3 linked regions of the Saccharomyces cerevisiae S288C genome follow. The protein of the gene in region 1 binds, or shares a complex with, the protein of each later gene. Each region holds a gene or a part of one and is shown on either strand. Other genes may lie near its edges. A codon is read from its position in the direction of its gene.

The links. Proteins that work in one complex are often made in the same cells at the same time.
Region 2: the proteins of SSL1 (region 1) and RAD3 are in contact, whole or in part, in a cryo-EM structure (PDB 7K01), measured with the Saccharomyces cerevisiae proteins. Residues at the interface, in NP_013105.1 of Saccharomyces cerevisiae: Glu134 (codon at 3,331), Asn207 (codon at 3,550), Leu239 (codon at 3,646), Ser240 (codon at 3,649), Thr241 (codon at 3,652), Thr242 (codon at 3,655), Asp243 (codon at 3,658), Ile247 (codon at 3,670), His248 (codon at 3,673), Ser267 (codon at 3,730), Ala268 (codon at 3,733), Gln269 (codon at 3,736), Val270 (codon at 3,739), Ala271 (codon at 3,742), Ile272 (codon at 3,745), Ile290 (codon at 3,799), Leu292 (codon at 3,805), Asp293 (codon at 3,808), His296 (codon at 3,817); in NP_011098.3 of Saccharomyces cerevisiae: Ile532 (codon at 3,013), Pro534 (codon at 3,007), Asp535 (codon at 3,004), Lys565 (codon at 2,914), His566 (codon at 2,911), Ser591 (codon at 2,836), Asn592 (codon at 2,833), Gly593 (codon at 2,830), Arg594 (codon at 2,827), Gln615 (codon at 2,764), Tyr676 (codon at 2,581), Lys718 (codon at 2,455), Arg722 (codon at 2,443), Ala725 (codon at 2,434), Gln726 (codon at 2,431).
Region 3: the proteins of SSL1 (region 1) and TFB1 are in contact, whole or in part, in a cryo-EM structure (PDB 7K01), measured with the Saccharomyces cerevisiae proteins. Residues at the interface, in NP_013105.1 of Saccharomyces cerevisiae: Gly177 (codon at 3,460), Leu178 (codon at 3,463), Ala179 (codon at 3,466), Gln184 (codon at 3,481), Asn207 (codon at 3,550), Asn212 (codon at 3,565), Met216 (codon at 3,577), Gly219 (codon at 3,586), Leu220 (codon at 3,589), Leu222 (codon at 3,595), Pro223 (codon at 3,598), Thr242 (codon at 3,655), Asp243 (codon at 3,658), Pro244 (codon at 3,661), Gly245 (codon at 3,664), Asp246 (codon at 3,667), Pro333 (codon at 3,928), Thr334 (codon at 3,931), Phe335 (codon at 3,934), Cys336 (codon at 3,937), Ser337 (codon at 3,940), Ser340 (codon at 3,949), Lys341 (codon at 3,952), Asn351 (codon at 3,982), Cys352 (codon at 3,985), His353 (codon at 3,988), Ser354 (codon at 3,991), Pro364 (codon at 4,021), Cys365 (codon at 4,024), Cys366 (codon at 4,027); in NP_010597.3 of Saccharomyces cerevisiae: Pro215 (codon at 2,580), Arg218 (codon at 2,589), Ala219 (codon at 2,592), Leu222 (codon at 2,601), Ser223 (codon at 2,604), Gln226 (codon at 2,613), Lys227 (codon at 2,616), Val228 (codon at 2,619), Gly229 (codon at 2,622), Pro230 (codon at 2,625), Tyr231 (codon at 2,628), Asn232 (codon at 2,631), Leu389 (codon at 3,102), Glu548 (codon at 3,579), Arg551 (codon at 3,588), Thr555 (codon at 3,600), Cys558 (codon at 3,609), Glu559 (codon at 3,612), Lys562 (codon at 3,621), Ala614 (codon at 3,777), Tyr615 (codon at 3,780), Pro618 (codon at 3,789), Ser622 (codon at 3,801), Lys629 (codon at 3,822).

Annotation. Positions count from the first base shown.
Region 1 is NC_001144.5:157,118-164,146, forward strand, and holds SSL1 (TFIIH/NER complex subunit SSL1), read left to right. Parts: upstream 1-2,931; coding exon 2,932-4,317; downstream 4,318-7,029. Other genes in the region: CMS1 (Cms1p), read right to left, coding at 1-613; THI73 (Thi73p), read right to left, coding at 817-2,388; mitogen-activated protein kinase kinase kinase SSK1, read right to left, coding at 4,638-6,776. UniProt on the Saccharomyces cerevisiae protein: Component of the general transcription and DNA repair factor IIH (TFIIH) core complex, which is involved in general and transcription-coupled nucleotide excision repair (NER) of damaged DNA and, when complexed to TFIIK, in RNA transcription by RNA polymerase II.
Region 2 is NC_001137.3:525,110-531,687, reverse strand, and holds RAD3 (TFIIH/NER complex ATP-dependent 5'-3' DNA helicase subunit RAD3), read right to left. Parts: upstream 4,607-6,578; coding exon 2,270-4,606; downstream 1-2,269. Other genes in the region: ATP-dependent RNA helicase BRR2, read left to right, coding at 1-2,158; adenylate kinase ADK2, read right to left, coding at 5,037-5,714; RPH1 (Rph1p), read right to left, coding at 5,929-6,578. UniProt on the Saccharomyces cerevisiae protein: ATP-dependent 5'-3' DNA helicase.
Region 3 is NC_001136.10:1,083,128-1,089,262, forward strand, and holds TFB1 (TFIIH/NER complex subunit TFB1), read left to right. Parts: upstream 1-1,937; coding exon 1,938-3,866; downstream 3,867-6,135. Other genes in the region: SUM1 (Sum1p), read right to left, coding at 1-1,189; SSF2 (rRNA-binding ribosome biosynthesis protein), read left to right, coding at 4,454-5,815; PIB1 (phosphatidylinositol-3-phosphate-binding ubiquitin-protein ligase), read right to left, coding at 6,092-6,135. UniProt on the Saccharomyces cerevisiae protein: Component of the general transcription and DNA repair factor IIH (TFIIH) core complex, which is involved in general and transcription-coupled nucleotide excision repair (NER) of damaged DNA and, when complexed to TFIIK, in RNA transcription by RNA polymerase II.

The DNA.
Region 1 (7,029 bases):
GTTCCACGGTGGCTATGTCATCCTTTAGTTTACTTTTAGAGAATAATTTGACGCAATTTTTGCCACCGTTTAGACTACGATAAACGTCTGCTACTCTAATATTAGACATAGAAAAAACAATTTTTTTTGGAGCTACGGAAAATTTTTGAATAAAGGCTGGGAAATTGCTTAATCTGCGTTCAGCGTCAAATTTTTCTGTCGAAAGAAAATCATTTCTTTTGAAGTAAAGTTCCTCTAATTCTAAAACACTCAAGTCAGGATTTTTTTCTCGTATCAAAGTTGTTAGGTACTCAATAATTTTTTCTGGTGAACTTGCTGGAAGTGCTTTTCGTTGTGAGACGATATACTGGCTTTCCTCTTTCTTTTTCTCAATTAGCTTTGATTTTTTCTGTAGCTTTTTCTGTCTTTTCGAAATAGGTCTATTCGAATCATCTTCTGAATTTCTCTCCTCTTTTTTCCCATCTATATCATCAACGTCATCGTCATCTTGTTCTATAGACCTCTTTTGTACCTTTTTGGTTGGGGGACTACCATCCTTGGCGTCAAAAATTACTTCATGTTCGGCATCAAAATCATAGGCGAGTCCATCATCTAAATCATCTGGATTAGACATTTTCAGCTCAATTGTCCTGACGATATGTTTAGAAGTTAGTAGCGGGGATCAAATTTCGACTTTCATTGCCTCATCCATGGTCATCTCAAAAATTTTCTCTTCAATTTTTTGGTAAATACCAAGTGCAATGAATGTTTGGGTGTCTTTGAATATTGAATATTACAGACTAAAAATATTATATATTGTAAATTAAAAGTTGATTATTAGTAAATGTACCTGAAATTTCTGTTTTCGATATCAGTCAAGTCCAAAAATTGGTACTTCTTCCTTTCTTGACCTTCTTGTTCCTTATCACGCTTTTCGTTCTCCTTCTTGCAAATGTAGCCAATGTATAATTGTAGGGGAACACAAACACACTGAGTGACCAATAAGGCAATCTTTGCTGGTATGTAACGTGGAGCAGAGTATGCCCTAAACATCTGTGGAGCAATAATACAGGAGACATTGTATACAATCATTGTAATAGCATTTCTAAAAACTCTTTTGGTGTAACCGGAGGTGTTGCATGAATTCCAGATGTAAATATTGGTAATGACACAGGAACCACTGTAAAGCAAGTACAGAGAAAATAAGTTACCGATCTTATGGGATAAGGGTAAACTGATAAGAACGATACAACCTATAATAGCTGGAATATACATAGATGTGGTTATGAGTGTGATATGACCCCAGCGGGACAACATTTGAGTTGTTATAAGAATAATCATAGCCGTAATGGCACCAATAGGCAACTGCAGTAATGCTGTTTCGTACTTGTCGAAACCAAAAGTACCAGTGATGGTCACTGAAAATGTACCAATGGCACCAGTAGAAATTTGAGAACATGCAGTTAATAAAAGCATCGGCCAAGTAAACTTATCATGAAGGAATAGTTCTTTAACTTGCTGCTTCTTAAACTTCTTTGTTTCCAGGCCAGTTTGGTTAGCTCTGATATGCTCAACAACTTGAATTTTTTCCTCTTTGTTTAGGAACCAAGCATTGGTGACGTTATCTGGAAGGTATAAGAATGTTAGAACACCAAACGCAACTGTAACCAGACCAACGACCAAAAACATTATTTGCCAAGAGGTGAAAGCGGTACCATGATAATGTAAAAAGCCAAAAGAAATTAACCCGCCCACAATATAACCTGTACCAGCCTGTGTGGCCCAGAATCCAATTCTTGCACTCTGTTCAGATTTAGTATAGTACATACCACTAATAGCGATACAACCAACTGCACTCGAGGATTCAAAGAGACCTAGGAGAGTACGAACGACCATCAACGAGGCGTACGTCTTACAAGCAGCATGGCAAGCCAACACGATACCCCAGACGGTAATAAAAGTACCTAGGATTTTGGAAATGGGGAATTTTTGAATTAAGTAAGTGACCACAGGTTCCATGAAAATGTAAGCAGCAGAAAAGATAGTACCCAAATTAGAAAATTCGTTACCTTTCAAATGATCTTTGATACCCATAGATGCAGCGTAGTTCAGCAGAGCCTTATCCAAAAACATCAGAAGATATGTACAGCATAAAAAGGGCAGGATGAAGAGGTCAACTTTTCTCAGGACCTTAGGAGATAATTCATGGGAACCATAGAAGTTGGCTTCTTCGCCTGCTACAACATCGTCTTCATTAGCCGTGGAGCTTTCGTCGAGACCGTTCTGTTTCAGGAATCTTAAAGCAACGTCCGCATCGTCTACATTAATGCTCGAGGTACTTACGGAACAACTATCAGCGTTAGCTGCCTTCTTCTCCACGTCCATGGATCGTTGTGACATGTTTTTCATTGTATTGATTTGCTGACACTCTCACTACTTCTCAGCAACAACAAAGTAAACTTTAATCTATCATACTTTGAACTATCTTATATACGTGTATATATGCACCCGCTGAGATGCTCATCGAGATTGCTCATCACCTCTGAAAAGGCTGTCTGTCACCACCATGTTTTCCGCCGGACCAAATGACAGTTCCTTAAGGGAAACTCAAAGAGACTATATTAACTAAGGAGGATCAACCAGATATGCAAAAAAAACAAATAGTTATGACGGCACTCGAACCAACCAAACACCACCCTATAATTAATGTTGATAATGATAGCGACTCGAAATTTGCCAATAAAACCTGTCTATTACGCGTCATCTACTTGAGAGTAATATACTGGAAGTTCGAGATACTCCGCACAGGGTCTGGGTGGTAGGTTTCTTTGCTATTGTATAGTTTTTCAAGATACGTAAAAGGTCTTCATCTTATCTTATATAGATGCAGGTGATTACTAGTGGGGCAAGTCGGCAGCTAATTGCGTGTGTGCGGAAGGATTGTGCAGTAGAATGGCTCCTGTAGTTATTTCAGAATCTGAAGAGGATGAGGATAGAGTTGCCATTACTAGAAGAACTAAGAGACAAGTTCATTTTGATGGCGAGGGAGATGATCGTGTAGACCAACAGCAACAGCAGCACAGTTCAAGCCACAGGGATAGGGATAAACATGTGCAGCGTAAGAAGAAGAAAAGGCTCTCGAATAGAAACCTGCAAGGTTCAAATGGTGGGTACGCTTGGGAGGATGAGATCAAGAGAAGTTGGGATTTGGTGAAAGTGGACGATGAAGGGGATATGGCATCTCTTGTGGCTAGCATAGTCGAGGCCAGAAAGAAACGTACTGCTAAGAAAAACATAACGCCATACCAAAGAGGTATTATCAGAAGTTTAATATTAACACTAGATTGTAGTGAAGCTATGTTGGAAAAGGATTTGAGACCAAACAGGCATGCCATGATTATCCAGTACGCCATAGATTTTGTCCATGAATTTTTCGACCAAAATCCGATATCTCAAATGGGTATTATCATAATGAGAAACGGTTTGGCACAACTGGTCAGCCAAGTTAGCGGAAACCCGCAGGATCACATTGATGCGTTGAAATCCATCAGGAAACAAGAACCGAAAGGAAACCCTTCATTGCAAAATGCATTGGAAATGGCAAGAGGCCTTTTATTGCCTGTTCCTGCGCATTGTACAAGGGAAGTACTGATTGTATTTGGTAGTCTTTCCACAACTGATCCTGGAGATATTCACCAAACTATCGATTCGTTAGTTTCTGAGAAAATTAGAGTGAAGGTTTTGGGGTTATCAGCTCAAGTGGCCATATGTAAAGAATTATGCAAGGCAACGAATTATGGTGATGAATCCTTCTATAAAATTTTACTCGATGAAACTCACTTAAAGGAGCTATTTAACGAGGCTGTTACCCCTTTACCCGTTAACAAAATTAATAAGGGTTTCACACTCGTAAAGATGGGGTTTCCGACAAGGATATTCGAAGATACTCCAACTTTTTGTTCGTGCCATTCCAAGTTAGTTTACGGCGGATACTTCTGTCCCAATTGTCATAGTAAAGTTTGTTCATTGCCCACAGTCTGTCCATGTTGTGACTTGATGCTAATCCTTTCTACCCACCTGGCCAGATCATATCACCATCTGATGCCGTTAAAAACATTTGCAGAAGTACCTACAACAGAAAAATTTCGATCAGAAGACTGCTTTAGTTGCCAGTCAAGATTTCCCATACTGAAAAACCATAAAAATGGTAAACTACTGACAAGTTCTCGCTATCGTTGTGAAGATTGTAAACAAGAATTTTGTGTTGACTGCGATGTGTTCATCCATGAAATCCTTCATAACTGCCCAGGCTGTGAATCCAAGCCCGTAATAACTTAACGAAAATCTGTCAGCGTATAACACGATCACTCTTCCATCATATAACAAATCCAAGTAGTAGAGAACGAAATAGTTTTTGATGGACATATAACTACATAATTATTACAAAAATAACCTCATTTAATGTCCTATTGTTTATTACGAGAAAATCTTAATAGCACTTACGGCATTAAGAATATTTATTACTATTTTCAATTTATCAGGCACTTATTCAACTAAAAAAAAAAAAAAAATTCTTTGTTTTACAATAATATTAATAATTATTTTGAATAAATATCGTTACATTCTATCATAATGTCCTCTACACGGTACAACCAAACTCACAATTCTATTTGAGTGGGCGAGAGGTTTGAATTTTTTCTTACTGGGCTGTGTGTAGGGGTCATAGATGTCGCTTGTTTGAATGAGTGAGGGTTGGAAGGTGCAATAGGTTTCTGTGGAGATTTAACCAAAACACTGTCGGTCATCCGGCTTTCTCCCTGCTTCCAGCTGTCAAAATCAATCAAGGCTTGCATACATCCCCACTCTGTAATTTTCTTACTAAGCCAGTGTAAATTCACTGGTTTAGTCAGGTAGTCGTTACAACCAGAAAGAAGTGCTTTTCTTTTATCCATCTGAGAGTTAGATGCGGTCAATGCTACAATAATCACGGGCGCCTGAGAGAATCTCTTTGAAGTACCTTTTTCAAGATTGGAGTGTGAGTTATTGAGACTTTTTTGAATGCCAATGCCATTTTGTTTTTCGAAGTCCCTAATCTGCTTGGCAGCTTCTATACCAGACAAGACAGGCAGCTGTAAATCCATAAATATTAAATGAAGACCGCCTTCCTTCCAAATATTAACAGCTTCTTGACCATTTTTAGCCAGTTTATATGAGATTTTGTGTTTCCTCAGAAAGGAACCTAAGATAGCTTGGTTGATGACGTTGTCTTCAACTATTAAAACATTAATTTTGGGGAAAACTTTTTCACTTGTGGTGGTAAAAAGGTTTGGTAAAGGATCTGGTGGAGAGGAAACAGCAAAAGGTGCGTTATAAAGCGAGTTTGAGTAATGCGGCGTTTGACTACTTGTTAATATTGGTGATGCGGGCGTAACGTCTTCTTTTCTTCTTTGTACTTCCGACATGGGTTGCGTTATGCCTATACCAGCTTCATTAAGTGATCCGCTTTCTTGCGAAGGGGATCCGGTGTTCACTTCTAACTCTGAATGAGTAATTGTGTCTTCATTATTGAAAGATGAATCCGTGTGGGCCACTGGTTTATTTCGAAAATCTACCCCTCCTTTATAACCTTTTGGTAACAGCAAGATTGCTTGCCAAGGAGACTCGGCATCCTTTTCCTCATCCTTCAGTTCTTGTGACGCTCTTCTCAATTGCTCTTCATCAGTTATTAATTTAAATTCCTGAGGGCTGCTATTGCCATCTTTACCTTTAAGATCTGCTTTATCACCAATTGTTTGCTTAAGACCTTGTTCGCCCGGAGAAATATGGTCGTCTAGATGAAAAACACCAACGGCCCCATGGTCTGTTGGTTGAGTTTTCTGCTGCGAAATTTCTTCATTCGTAGGAACATAGTCTACAACATTTAAGATATCTAAAGGCGGTACATCCTGGCGTAAATTAACATTCGAAAATATCAGCAAAGGCTGCGATGCAGGTTGGGAACCCATGGTTCCGAATAGTTCCTTATATATGTTAATAGCCAATTCATCCGGTTCAAAGATGATTTTATAAGTGCAATCATTAACTGATTCTGTGGTAAAATTTAAACCTTTTCTAATCAACGGCCTTGTGTATTTATTTTTATTATGCGGTGAGACGTATGTAAGACCAGCTGATGCCATAATTTGATTATCAGAATGAAATTTAGGGTAGGGTGAGACTGAGGCAAATCGCAGTAACGGACTTTTAGTTGTTGCTGGAAACTGTTTAGGACTAGTAGAGTATGGTCTTTGCGGGCTTAGCATTGGCGCCTCGTTGGGAGGAAAATCCACATTGGTAGTCGCGGCCACTGTCGGCACGGCGGCAAAGGCGTCGTATAATGCTCCTCTTTTCTGCGTAGGTTTAGGATGCTGGAGAACATTCCTGTCCTTTGCAAGGTCTTTTGAAAGACCAAATGATCCTGCTGTGGGGCTCACTGAACTCTTGGTATTGCTATTAACGGAAAGGTTGGCGCCACTTCCAGCACCGTTACTCTTACTTCGACAACTATTATCGTTAGTGTTGTTACTACTGGTATTGTCGGCTTGATTGTCAAATTTAGGTGCGTAGAGGCCTATTGCAATGGAAGCATTATCGTTAATTTCTCGCCATCGAGTCGAACTCAGTTTCTGAAAAAACCTGCTCTTCAAATCATCAACAGTATCTATTTCATCGAACTGTACAGCAATTGGTTGGTTTACTTCATCAGTGGAGTTGTCTATTCGTAGCCAAACCTTCCACAGTAACGCAGAATTGAGCATTTTTACTTGTCTCCCCAAAATCGATTCGTTTTTGATTTACAGCAGCCTTTCCAATATTTCTTATACAAAACGGCCGAACTTGTACTCAAAATAAACGCTATTCTGAGGTCTAAAACTAACAAAACACGTAATTTTTCTGAATAAAACAATGTCTCCAACTAGTTAACCACAGCTTGGCTAGTTTCAATGTAGTCATTCCTAACAAAAAGGCAACCAGACCTATTTATAAATATATAGCCACTATTAAATTCAC
Region 2 (6,578 bases), on another chromosome or scaffold:
CTTGGCTACCCCCGTGCAATTTGAGCTTTTGTCACGTCGTTGGAGACAAAGGAAGAACATCCAAAGTTTAGAATTAATGATATATGATGACGCTCATGAGATTAGCCAAGGTGTTTACGGTGCTGTGTATGAAACGCTAATTTCTAGAATGATATTTATAGCAACCCAACTTGAAAAGAAAATTCGATTTGTTTGCCTTTCGAACTGTTTGGCAAATGCTCGTGATTTTGGTGAATGGGCTGGTATGACGAAGTCAAACATCTACAACTTTTCTCCAAGCGAAAGAATTGAGCCTCTTGAAATTAATATTCAGTCATTTAAAGATGTTGAGCACATATCATTCAATTTTTCGATGCTTCAAATGGCATTTGAAGCATCTGCTGCTGCAGCGGGAAATCGTAATTCCAGTTCGGTGTTCTTACCATCTAGAAAGGATTGTATGGAAGTTGCGTCTGCATTTATGAAGTTTTCAAAAGCAATTGAATGGGATATGTTGAACGTTGAAGAAGAGCAAATTGTACCATACATTGAAAAGTTAACAGATGGTCATCTAAGAGCACCTTTAAAACACGGTGTTGGTATTTTGTATAAGGGGATGGCATCAAATGATGAAAGAATTGTGAAAAGGTTATACGAATATGGTGCGGTATCGGTTTTACTCATTTCTAAGGATTGTTCTGCATTCGCTTGTAAAACTGATGAAGTGATTATTTTAGGAACCAACCTTTATGATGGTGCAGAGCATAAATATATGCCATATACCATAAATGAACTTCTAGAAATGGTGGGACTAGCTAGTGGTAACGATTCAATGGCAGGCAAGGTTTTAATTTTGACAAGTCACAACATGAAGGCCTACTACAAAAAATTCTTAATTGAGCCTTTGCCTACTGAGAGTTACCTACAGTATATTATTCATGATACTCTGAACAACGAGATAGCAAATTCTATTATACAAAGCAAACAAGATTGTGTTGACTGGTTTACATATTCGTATTTCTATCGTCGTATCCATGTGAATCCAAGCTATTATGGCGTAAGGGATACGTCTCCACATGGAATTTCAGTTTTTTTGAGTAATTTAGTTGAAACTTGTTTGAATGACTTAGTTGAATCATCCTTCATTGAAATTGACGATACAGAAGCTGAAGTAACCGCAGAAGTTAATGGAGGAGATGATGAAGCAACTGAAATCATTTCTACCTTGAGCAACGGGCTAATTGCTTCTCACTATGGCGTATCATTTTTTACTATTCAGTCATTCGTTTCTTCTTTATCGAATACGTCAACGCTCAAAAACATGCTGTATGTTCTTTCAACAGCAGTAGAATTCGAAAGTGTTCCACTCAGAAAAGGAGACAGAGCATTACTTGTCAAATTAAGTAAAAGACTACCATTGAGATTCCCTGAACACACCTCTTCTGGTTCGGTGAGCTTTAAAGTTTTCTTATTGTTACAAGCATATTTTTCACGTCTTGAATTACCTGTCGACTTTCAAAATGATTTAAAAGACATTCTAGAAAAGGTTGTTCCACTAATTAACGTAGTGGTTGATATCCTTTCAGCAAACGGGTATTTGAATGCTACTACCGCCATGGATTTGGCGCAGATGTTGATTCAGGGTGTATGGGACGTTGATAATCCGTTGAGACAGATTCCACACTTCAACAACAAAATTTTGGAAAAATGTAAAGAAATTAACGTCGAGACGGTCTATGATATAATGGCCCTTGAGGATGAAGAGAGGGATGAAATTTTAACGCTTACTGATTCACAGCTTGCGCAGGTCGCCGCGTTTGTTAACAATTACCCCAACGTTGAACTTACTTATTCGTTGAATAATTCTGATTCGTTAATTTCAGGTGTAAAACAGAAAATTACCATTCAATTGACAAGAGATGTTGAACCTGAGAACTTACAAGTAACATCTGAAAAGTATCCGTTTGATAAGCTAGAAAGTTGGTGGTTGGTTTTAGGTGAAGTATCTAAAAAAGAGCTTTATGCGATCAAGAAAGTTACTTTAAATAAAGAGACTCAGCAATATGAATTGGAATTTGACACTCCGACATCTGGTAAACATAACTTAACAATTTGGTGTGTCTGTGATTCATATCTTGACGCAGATAAAGAGTTGTCCTTTGAAATAAATGTGAAATAAAATCATTGTTTAGTCCTGGATAATCGAATGGATTTCAATATATAACATTCTCTTGCGGCTATTTAATCTAATTGTGATATATACAGTTTATAGCAAAAGCGTATCATTGCATCACTGCATTTCTATATCTTCATCTTCATCTTCATCCTGTTCTCCTTCTTTGTTTTCGTTTTCAATAAATCCACCTTGATCTTTTCTGCTATTCTGGTGCTTTATTAAATCTTCATAACTCCAAACAGATACACCCTCTTGGTCTTTAGGGTCTGTGGGTTGTGCCATTGTTCTCAAGAATTGTTTGGTATTGGATATGGCCATGTCAGTCGAAAGGTTCAAATCGGCGTCAGACAAACCTTGAGCAATCCATTTTGGTAACTGGCTTCTTTTTCTTGAAAACCTACGGTCTGCTAGTACCATTACACCATAGTCGTCCTTCCCTCTCAGTACTCTCCCCAGACATTGAGCTGCATGTCTCATCGCATCGAAAGATAAGAAGTCGTTTTCTCTGATGCGATAGTTCTCCCTCATGAATTCTAGGCGAGCTTTCAAAATACGCGATTCTGTGTATTGAAACGGGATACCTATCATCAGCACAGTTCTGCCATATTGATGATCAAAATCGATACCTTCAGATACCTTTCCTCTAGCAACAGAAAGCAAAATTGCCCCACGCCCATTTGAGCAAGCCTTTCTATAGGTTTCTAAGGCTAAAGAAGTTTCTTGAGCATCAGGAGTCTCAACTAAAATTAATTTATGTTTCCAAACTTCGTCAAGAATACCCATTGTTTGCCACATTGAAACAATACTTTCCATATATAGATATGAGGGGAAAAAAACAACCATTCCATCAGGTGTGATCTTGGCAAACTCTACTAGCATAGAACCGTAATTACGAACAATACTAGGATCGTTTCTGATTTCAAATCTTGAAGAAATTGCAACTTGATCAGAACCCTTGGTAATAATCATTGGTAGAAATGATTTTTTGGCTAAGGTCATGGCATATGATTTTTGTAAAACAGTTTTAAAGTTTAACATTCTTGGATACATGTCTAATGGTGATATGGTCCCTGAAGTGATAATAACGGAAGAAAATCTCTCAAAGACTGGTTTGATGGCAATCGATGCATCTAAGCAAGTAAATCTCATAATCGGATTCGGAACTGCAGCATTTTCGATTTCATACGGTTCAATAATTAGTAAAAACCCTTCCTCATATGTTGATATAAGAGTAGCAAAAGTTGCTATGTCTTTCAATGCAGTAAAATCTTCTACCTCTGTAACTTCTAAAGTTCTTACAAGTAATGATAGCCTTTCTGAGCAAAACCGAAGAGGTTTCCTTTCTATGAAAGTTAACTGTTTTAAATGCTGTAGAAATGATTTTGGCGTTTCTGAAATAACGTGAAGAACTTTCATTCTGGTCTTCAGATATTCTATCAATCTTTTCAAAAATGAAACAAAATGCTCGGCTCTTCGTATATTTCCCGGGATTGCTTCTGTTAGAAGATCTTGGGGCAATACAGGTGTTTCCACAAATGGCTCTTCCTGGTCGGTAAGAATATCTGCAGAATGGAGACCTTGAACTAGTTTTTCGTATTCATCCTGTAATTTCTGTGAGTCAACCTTTCTGACCTCAGAAATACGTTCATCTAACGCATTAGCACCTCGTGTGGCTCTTCTCAATGCATCCGTTGTCAAGTCTAATGACAGCGATTCGATACACACATTATCAATATTGTGCGCTTCATCAAAAATGACAATGCTATCTTTAGAAACCTCGTTGGAAACTCTTTCAGCAATTTTAGGATCTAATAGATAATGGTAAGAATAAATAATAATGTTACAAAGAGAAATCATACGACGAACAATAAAATATGGACAAAGTGTTTTTTCTTCGCAGTATTTCAAAAGTTTTTCAAAAGAAAATACGCCTTTTGGAAGATAATCCTCTACTTCAATATTGTACAAATTCTCATGGTATTCACACAATTCTACATTTGCCTCTGGATCCTCTTCTAATTTTCTCTTCGCCTGCCCATTTGTCATTCTACGGCACTTTTCATCGACTACTGTACCTTTTCGTTCCTTACTCACTTCGGGATGCAAACACAAATTTTTTCTTGATGTCAAGCCAAGACCTCGAAAATCCTCTTGATAGCCTAGTTCTTTAGTTCTGTAATCCATAAGGTTCTCTAACTCTACTAAAGCTTTTTCAATTTCAGACATAGTACGAGAACAATATATGATCTTTCTATGTTCTGGGTAGTGCATCTGGTAGGCAATTGTGAGGGATAGTAATGAGACCGTTTTACCTGTTCCTGAAGGCATCTCCAAGATACTATTTCCACCTACATCCAGAGTCTTTTTAATATCGCACATATAATTATACTGCTCTGGATATATCTTGGGGTATGGAAAAAGCACTGGTAAATCATCTATATAAAACTTCATTGTTTCCAATCTTCTTAAAGTGTAGTCAAATCGGGCCGATTATCACCTTCAACCCAAGATGAAATATAGTATTTCTATGAATGGCTAACAGTACTTTGTCAACTTTAAGATATACATATATATATATTTATTTATTATTTACAGACCAGAGATTTCTTTTCAAAAGCTATGTAGCATAAAGTACGCTACTTTAATTTTTCATAAATTTCATATACATCGCTTAAATGCCGTCGGCCATGATTAATATAGGATTAACTCATATCATAAAGGCTATTCAGAATATTCAAAGTGAACTGTAATCATTTGGTTGACGAGATGCTGACTTCCAACTAGAGTCACGGTTTTTCAAAGTCTCGGGGAAGGTTAACATATACTTGCAGTTAGTGTAGCGTTAAATCACCCTATTAGCCGAATTTGCTGGTTATAAGGTTCAATAATTTCGGAAGATAATATCTGATGTTTCCCCAGAGACGGTACCAAAAATCCCACTTTTTTTGTAATAATCTTTTAAAGGCTCATTTGTTTTCTTGTACTCTTCTAGCCTTTTTTTAAACACTTCCGCTGTGTCATCAAGCCTCTTGGTCAATGGTTCTCCGGTGATATCGTCTAATCCTGGCACTTTGGGAGGATTATATTGTAAGTTATACACTCTCCCACTAGGAACGTGAACATATCTGTTCTCGATCCTTTCTAATATGGTGGATTCGGGTACATCTAGCTCTACCACTAGATTCAAGCTGGCGTCATGCTGTTTCAGCAGCTCGTCTAAGGCAGAAGCTTGCGCAGTAGTTCGAGGAAATCCATCGAGCAACCACATGGCAGATGGTTTTAACCAACCCAATGCCGAAAGACGAAAAGTTATCAGACGCGTTATGAGATCATCCGGTAATAACTTGCCTTGAGCAATGTAGGTAGTAGCCTCTCGGCCTAGGGTAGATTCAGATTTTATTTCCTGACGTAAAATGTCGCCTGACGAAATTGAAGATAATTGTGGAATTTGCTTTAGTAATCTCGAAGTCTGTGTCCCTTTACCTGACCCTGGAGCCCCCAATAATAAAAGTCGAAGAGGTTTGAGTAGATGTGTTATTTGTTTCGCGTCTGCTTTCATTGATGCTTGCTAACCCTGTTCCTGAAAATTTAAAGATTTACAAACAAATATATATACGTATATTATCCTTTTCTACACATGTGTATCTATATAATGATGGTTATTGTAATGGTATTTATTAGTGAATGTGGGTTTTCGCGAATTCCCGGCCGACCGAGCACATTTTAAGAGCCTTCAAAATGAGAGATCTCGGTAAACAACTGGCAATCGTGAGTCAGTTTAAAGGTGTACTCTGTTGATTAATGGCCGCTTTCCCGTCCTGCGGTTGCACTGTAGGGTTCATTATTGGAGCATCTACTGTTGTTTCGTTTGAAATACACGGTATTTTCTTATTCAAGTGCTGCAGAACGTGATCTCTCCTTTTAAATCTTTTGCCACATTTGGGACAAGAATGAGGTTTCTCACCAGAGTGGACGGATTTTTTGTGTCTTGTAAGATGGTGACCAGAAGAGAACTTTCTTTGGCATTCCTTACAAATATAAATCTTGTTCTTACCTGATAACACGATTTCTTCGGGCGCAAACTTAGAGTTTAATGGAGAAGAGCCTTGTTCTTTGTCCAGATCGTCATTTCGGCTTGTAAAAGAATCCTCTTGGCGAGTGGATGCAACCTTTGAAAGTATAAGATTTGATTTTGATGTCTCGACAGGAGATTCCTTTTTGAGTATTCTATTTGCTGTCTTGTGATTTGGTCTTTCAGGGTGCGGTGTTTTTATGTCGTTTGTGTCACTCAGTGGCCCGAGCACAGAAGTAGAGAGATTTGACACGGTTGATGGTGTGGAGAATGAATGTTGTTGCGAATGTTGTTGTCTTGCCTCGTAATTCAGAGCTATAGGGCTTCTTGACGATTCCCTGGATATATTTA
Region 3 (6,135 bases), on another chromosome or scaffold:
TGGCTGACCTTGAAGTCCGAACCGGAGCCGGTTGTGACACAGGATTGGATGGAGATGATGGTATTTGATGAAATTTGGAAGATGGAAGCAAGGAATTTATTGGAATCTCGTTTTTAATCCGATTAGATGCATCTGACTTATCTATCGTATCCGTGGAATTGGATATCATTGTTTCCACTGTTCTCTTTTTTGGGGGCCTGCCTCTTTTTCTTTTGATTTGAATTAAGTTGTTCGGCGTAACAGGTGTTGGTGTGATGGAGCTAGAATTAGCAGTGGATGGTCGCTCTTTACCATTTTCATTGTTCGTTCTTTGCGGTACGGAAGTCAAGGACATATCAGCATCATCTCTTGATGATGAAGGGGCAGATAATAAAAGCGACTCTTGTTTCGTTGATGGTTCCACAAAATACCTTTTGGATTTAGACGTTTGTACTACGGCAGTCGGTAAAGTAATATTTACTGGTGAGAAAGGAGCACCCTGATTGGATGCACTTTTGAGATTGACCGAGGCTGCGTTTGACACTAACTTATTCATTGTGGAGGTCGAGGCATCTTTTCTTGGCCTGCCAGGTCCCCTTCGAGAAGAAGAGGTATTATGCTGTGAACTGGTATTGTTGGATGAATTTTCTATGAGAAGGTTAGAGTGATTTACTTTCGAAGTATTTTGCAACATTGTCGATAATTTGTTCAATCGTTCATTCAAATTATTGACCAATATGTCAGTATTTACTTGATTCTTCATGACATCATCCAGCTTATTTTCCAAAACTGATTGGTTGTGTGATAAAACTTTTAATGAGTTAAACAAATCCTGCACAGAATCAGTGAGGGAAGTGTCTTTGGAAAGCAAAGCCGTCTTCAAATCGTTGCATTGTTTTGTGACTTTGTCCATACCCTCTTTTAGGGCTTCAATAGATGAATGTGGAAAGGCCTCGGAATCTTTTATATGAAGCGGATTTGAACCAAAACCAGAGCCAACTTGTCGTTTTATATCAGAATCATCACTGACTGGTATGTCTGTGATGGATGGCAAAGCTTTAGCGTTCGCATCTGTATCTAGCTTCCTCAAACTATTAGCTTGATTTTGAGCACTGGTAAGTGCTAACGTATCTACGTCATCTTTGGGTCCAGACGGAAGTCTCTGTTCATTGGTTATGTTATCAGAAGGGGCTGTGGTGTTCTCAGACATCCCCGCAACAAACGAATTTTGTTAATTATGTATGAAACTTTTCGTTTGATCTCAATAATACCACTAGCGACTAAATTTTTATGATACTTAGCTACTTTAAACAAGTCCCTTGTGCTCTGTTTGCTGACACTTTTGATAAAATATGCCTGTGTATAATTCTTTTAGCAGTTTATTTCAAACACAAATGGTATTAAAAGGATAGATGAAAAAAAAAAAAAAATTAAAGCCACTAGTAATGATACAATCGTGGTATCACAAGCGCTGAATGAAACAAGTGTGGCTATCTATAGCGGATGCAAGTGGAGAACTTGTGAATCCAAACTGAAATATTTTGCCATCATTTGTTGTCCTTTCCCTTTTCCATTCAGGAAAAAAAAAAAAAATTTGACGTCGCCGTCGCGTCGCAGTCATATAATTACAGCAATTTATCTTGTTGAACGACGCAAATTAATGGAAATTGTGACTTACATAGTAAGTATTAGTAAACGTAGTTAAGGCCACGTGGGAAAGATATGAAAGGAGTGTAAGTAATGGATATCGGTCTAACGAAAATGGAAACCAATCTTTAAAAATGATAGTATGATTCGACAGTAAACTAGAAAAGCCACAACCCGTGGGACATGATAAGGCTGCTCGTTTTTGACGCAATTTTTAGACAATACTGAAATTTAGCATAATAAGCTTTCCCAGTGAAAGTAATAATATTTAACCTAGGGTAGGGGTAGGGAAAAAATAAAAGTAAACCATAATGTCACATTCCGGAGCTGCCATTTTTGAGAAAGTTTCTGGGATAATTGCCATAAATGAGGATGTTTCACCCGCAGAATTGACATGGAGGTCTACGGACGGTGACAAGGTTCACACAGTTGTCTTATCCACTATTGACAAGTTACAAGCTACCCCTGCTTCCAGTGAAAAAATGATGTTGAGGCTAATCGGGAAAGTGGATGAGTCAAAAAAGAGAAAAGACAACGAAGGAAATGAGGTTGTGCCCAAACCGCAACGTCATATGTTTTCGTTTAACAATAGAACAGTTATGGATAATATCAAGATGACCCTTCAACAAATCATCTCACGGTATAAAGATGCAGATATCTACGAAGAAAAGAGAAGAAGAGAGGAGTCTGCGCAACACACAGAAACACCAATGAGCTCTTCTTCTGTTACTGCAGGGACTCCCACACCACATCTCGATACACCACAATTGAATAATGGGGCTCCGTTGATTAATACAGCCAAACTAGATGATTCTCTCTCTAAAGAAAAATTGTTGACCAATTTAAAGCTACAGCAATCTTTACTGAAAGGAAACAAAGTTCTAATGAAGGTTTTTCAGGAAACAGTCATTAACGCCGGTTTGCCTCCATCTGAATTTTGGTCAACTAGAATTCCGTTATTGAGGGCTTTTGCCTTATCTACTTCTCAAAAAGTTGGGCCTTACAACGTTTTGTCAACTATCAAGCCGGTGGCTTCATCGGAAAACAAAGTCAATGTTAATTTGTCAAGAGAAAAAATTTTGAATATTTTTGAGAACTATCCAATTGTAAAGAAAGCTTACACTGATAATGTGCCCAAAAATTTCAAAGAACCAGAGTTCTGGGCAAGGTTCTTCTCTTCGAAGTTATTCAGAAAATTAAGGGGTGAAAAGATCATGCAAAATGATAGAGGTGACGTAATCATTGACAGGTACTTGACATTGGATCAAGAGTTCGACAGAAAAGATGATGACATGCTATTGCATCCTGTGAAAAAAATTATAGATTTAGATGGTAACATACAGGACGACCCAGTTGTACGAGGCAACAGGCCCGACTTCACTATGCAGCCAGGTGTGGATATTAATGGTAATAGCGATGGTACCGTGGACATCTTAAAGGGTATGAATAGATTGAGTGAAAAAATGATTATGGCTTTGAAGAATGAGTATTCAAGGACAAATCTACAGAACAAATCTAATATTACAAACGATGAGGAAGATGAAGATAATGATGAAAGAAATGAACTGAAAATCGATGACTTAAACGAAAGCTACAAGACAAACTATGCAATCATACATCTGAAAAGGAACGCACATGAAAAGACAACCGACAACGATGCGAAAAGCTCGGCAGACTCGATAAAGAATGCAGATTTGAAGGTTTCTAATCAACAAATGTTACAACAGTTGTCATTGGTCATGGATAATTTAATTAATAAGCTAGACTTGAACCAAGTAGTTCCTAACAACGAAGTCAGCAACAAGATCAATAAAAGAGTCATAACTGCAATCAAGATTAACGCCAAACAGGCTAAGCATAACAATGTTAATTCAGCACTCGGCTCTTTTGTCGACAACACTTCTCAAGCAAATGAATTAGAGGTGAAAAGTACCCTACCAATAGACCTATTAGAAAGTTGTAGAATGCTACACACAACGTGCTGTGAATTTCTAAAGCACTTTTATATTCATTTTCAGAGCGGTGAACAAAAGCAAGCCAGTACCGTCAAAAAACTTTATAATCATTTGAAGGACTGTATTGAAAAGCTGAATGAGCTATTTCAAGACGTCCTTAATGGTGATGGTGAATCTATGTCAAACACATGTACCGCCTATTTGAAGCCAGTTTTGAACTCCATTACTTTGGCTACTCATAAGTACGATGAGTACTTCAACGAATATAACAACAATTCGAACTAGAAATATAAAGGCTCTCCAGTTGTTACCACTTTTTACATTCATATTTTTCATCTATTTACTGCATGTTACATATTACATAAAACTTAATTGTGTGTATTCTTCCTTTTTGGTCTTTAGTCTCTATGTAAACAATAGAAAAACGCGGGACTCGATTAACGCTGTGCTGCACTGATGCAGCCGTGCGTGTAAATAAAACATTTAACGTGAAAACGCGCGCGAATGGCTTGTGAAACAAACAAGAAACAAACGGGAAATATTTCAGCATGTGATGTGGCTGAAAATTAGCAAACGATTCGTCAAAATAAATCAGTAATGGTGCTTTAGTTCTATTACAGCTTGCTAATGGTTCAGTAATATTTTCAAAAATTTTGCCAAACAGACCTAAGCACTTGCAATACTCCAGACTGTTAGTTCAGTCATTATCTATCATCTTGGACGATTTTGCAATTTTTTAGTGTAGATGCATCTCATCGACGGGCTTGTATGAATGATATTAAATAGGCAAAATAAACTAGTCTAGCTAATATTCGACTAAATTGCAGCTGCTAGGTCACCATCCCGCACATACCTTAGATATTTTGGAACTAATGGCTAAAAGAAGGCAGAAAAAGAGAACGCATGCGCAGATCACACCCGAGCAGGAACGAGATATTCCTAAATCCATGGTAATCAGAGTGGGACAAACTTCATTGGCTAACCATTCTCTAAACCAATTAGTAAAGGATTTTCGCCAGATCATGCAACCGCATACGGCCGTAAAACTAAAAGAGCGCAAGTCCAATAAACTGAAGGATTTTGTTGTTATGTGTGGCCCATTAGGTGTTACGCATCTTTTCATGTTCACTCAATCTGAAAAAACAGGAAATGTCTCGCTAAAGATAGCTAGAACTCCACAAGGTCCTACTGTTACTTTTCAAGTATTGGACTATTCACTGGGTAGAGATATCAAAAAATTTTTGAAGAGACCTAAATCGTTAAATAATGATGATGTATTAAATCCTCCATTGCTAGTGTTAAATGGGTTTTCCACATCGAAAAGATCTGATGAAGACGATCAGGATGTAAACGTGGAGAAGGTTATTGTTTCCATGTTCCAGAATATTTTCCCACCTCTGAATCCTGCAAGAACTTCGTTGAATTCTATCAAACGTATATTTATGATCAATAAAGACAGAGAAACGGGGGAAATTTCTATGCGCCACTATTTTATTGACATTCGAGAAGTAGAGATCTCTAGAAATCTAAAAAGGCTTTATAAAGCCAAAAATAATCTAAGTAAAACAGTGCCGAATTTGCATCGAAAAGAAGATATTTCTTCTTTGATATTAGATCATGACTTAGGCGCCTATACATCAGAATCTGAAATTGAAGATGACGCTATTGTGAGAGTGGTTGATAATCAGGACGTGAAGGCAAAACATTCTCAAACTTCGCTGTCGCAAAAAACACCCGTTAAAATGACAGATAACGAAGAACGTGAAAAAGGAATTGAAGAAGAAGATGTGGAAATGGAGGAACCTAAGCCTTCAGAAAATTCGCAACCAACTCCACGTAAGAAGGCTATCAAACTGACTGAATTAGGACCAAGATTAACTCTAAAACTGGTCAAAATAGAAGATGGTATTTGTTCAGGTAAAGTATTACATCATGAATTTGTTCAAAAATCAAGCGAAGAAATCAAAGCCTTAGAAAAGAGACACGCTGCAAAAATGAGGCTGAAGGAACAAAGAAGAAAGGAACAAGAAGAAAACATTGCTAAAAAAAAGGCTGTTAAAGATGCTAAAAAGCAACGTAAATTGGAAAGAAGAAAAGCTAGAGCAGAAGAACAGGGTGAAGGTCAAGGGAAAGATGGTGCAATGAGCGATGATGGATCTTCATCGAGTGAAGATGAGCATTATAGTGATGTACCAGAGGATTTGGATAGTGACTTATTCAGTGAAGTAGAATAATGCACGATATGTATATATATCCTCCGTACGTAACATCACTATCCATATAGTAGCCATGACTCCGATGGACTTAAAGAACCAGGAAGTGTCTGTTTATTCATAGGTGAGGGAACACCTCAAAGTAAATATTAATGAATATATAAGATCATAATTAAACAAATATATAGAAATCTTTTACAATTAAAGAAAAAAATAAAAGAAAAGGGAAGTTAAAACTTCGATTATTAACAGCTGAAAAATTAAACTTTGTAATGAAAAGCAAATTGGGAGTTATCGTTAAAATACGGCATCATGGAAAGGACAAAAGTTCCTTTTAACAA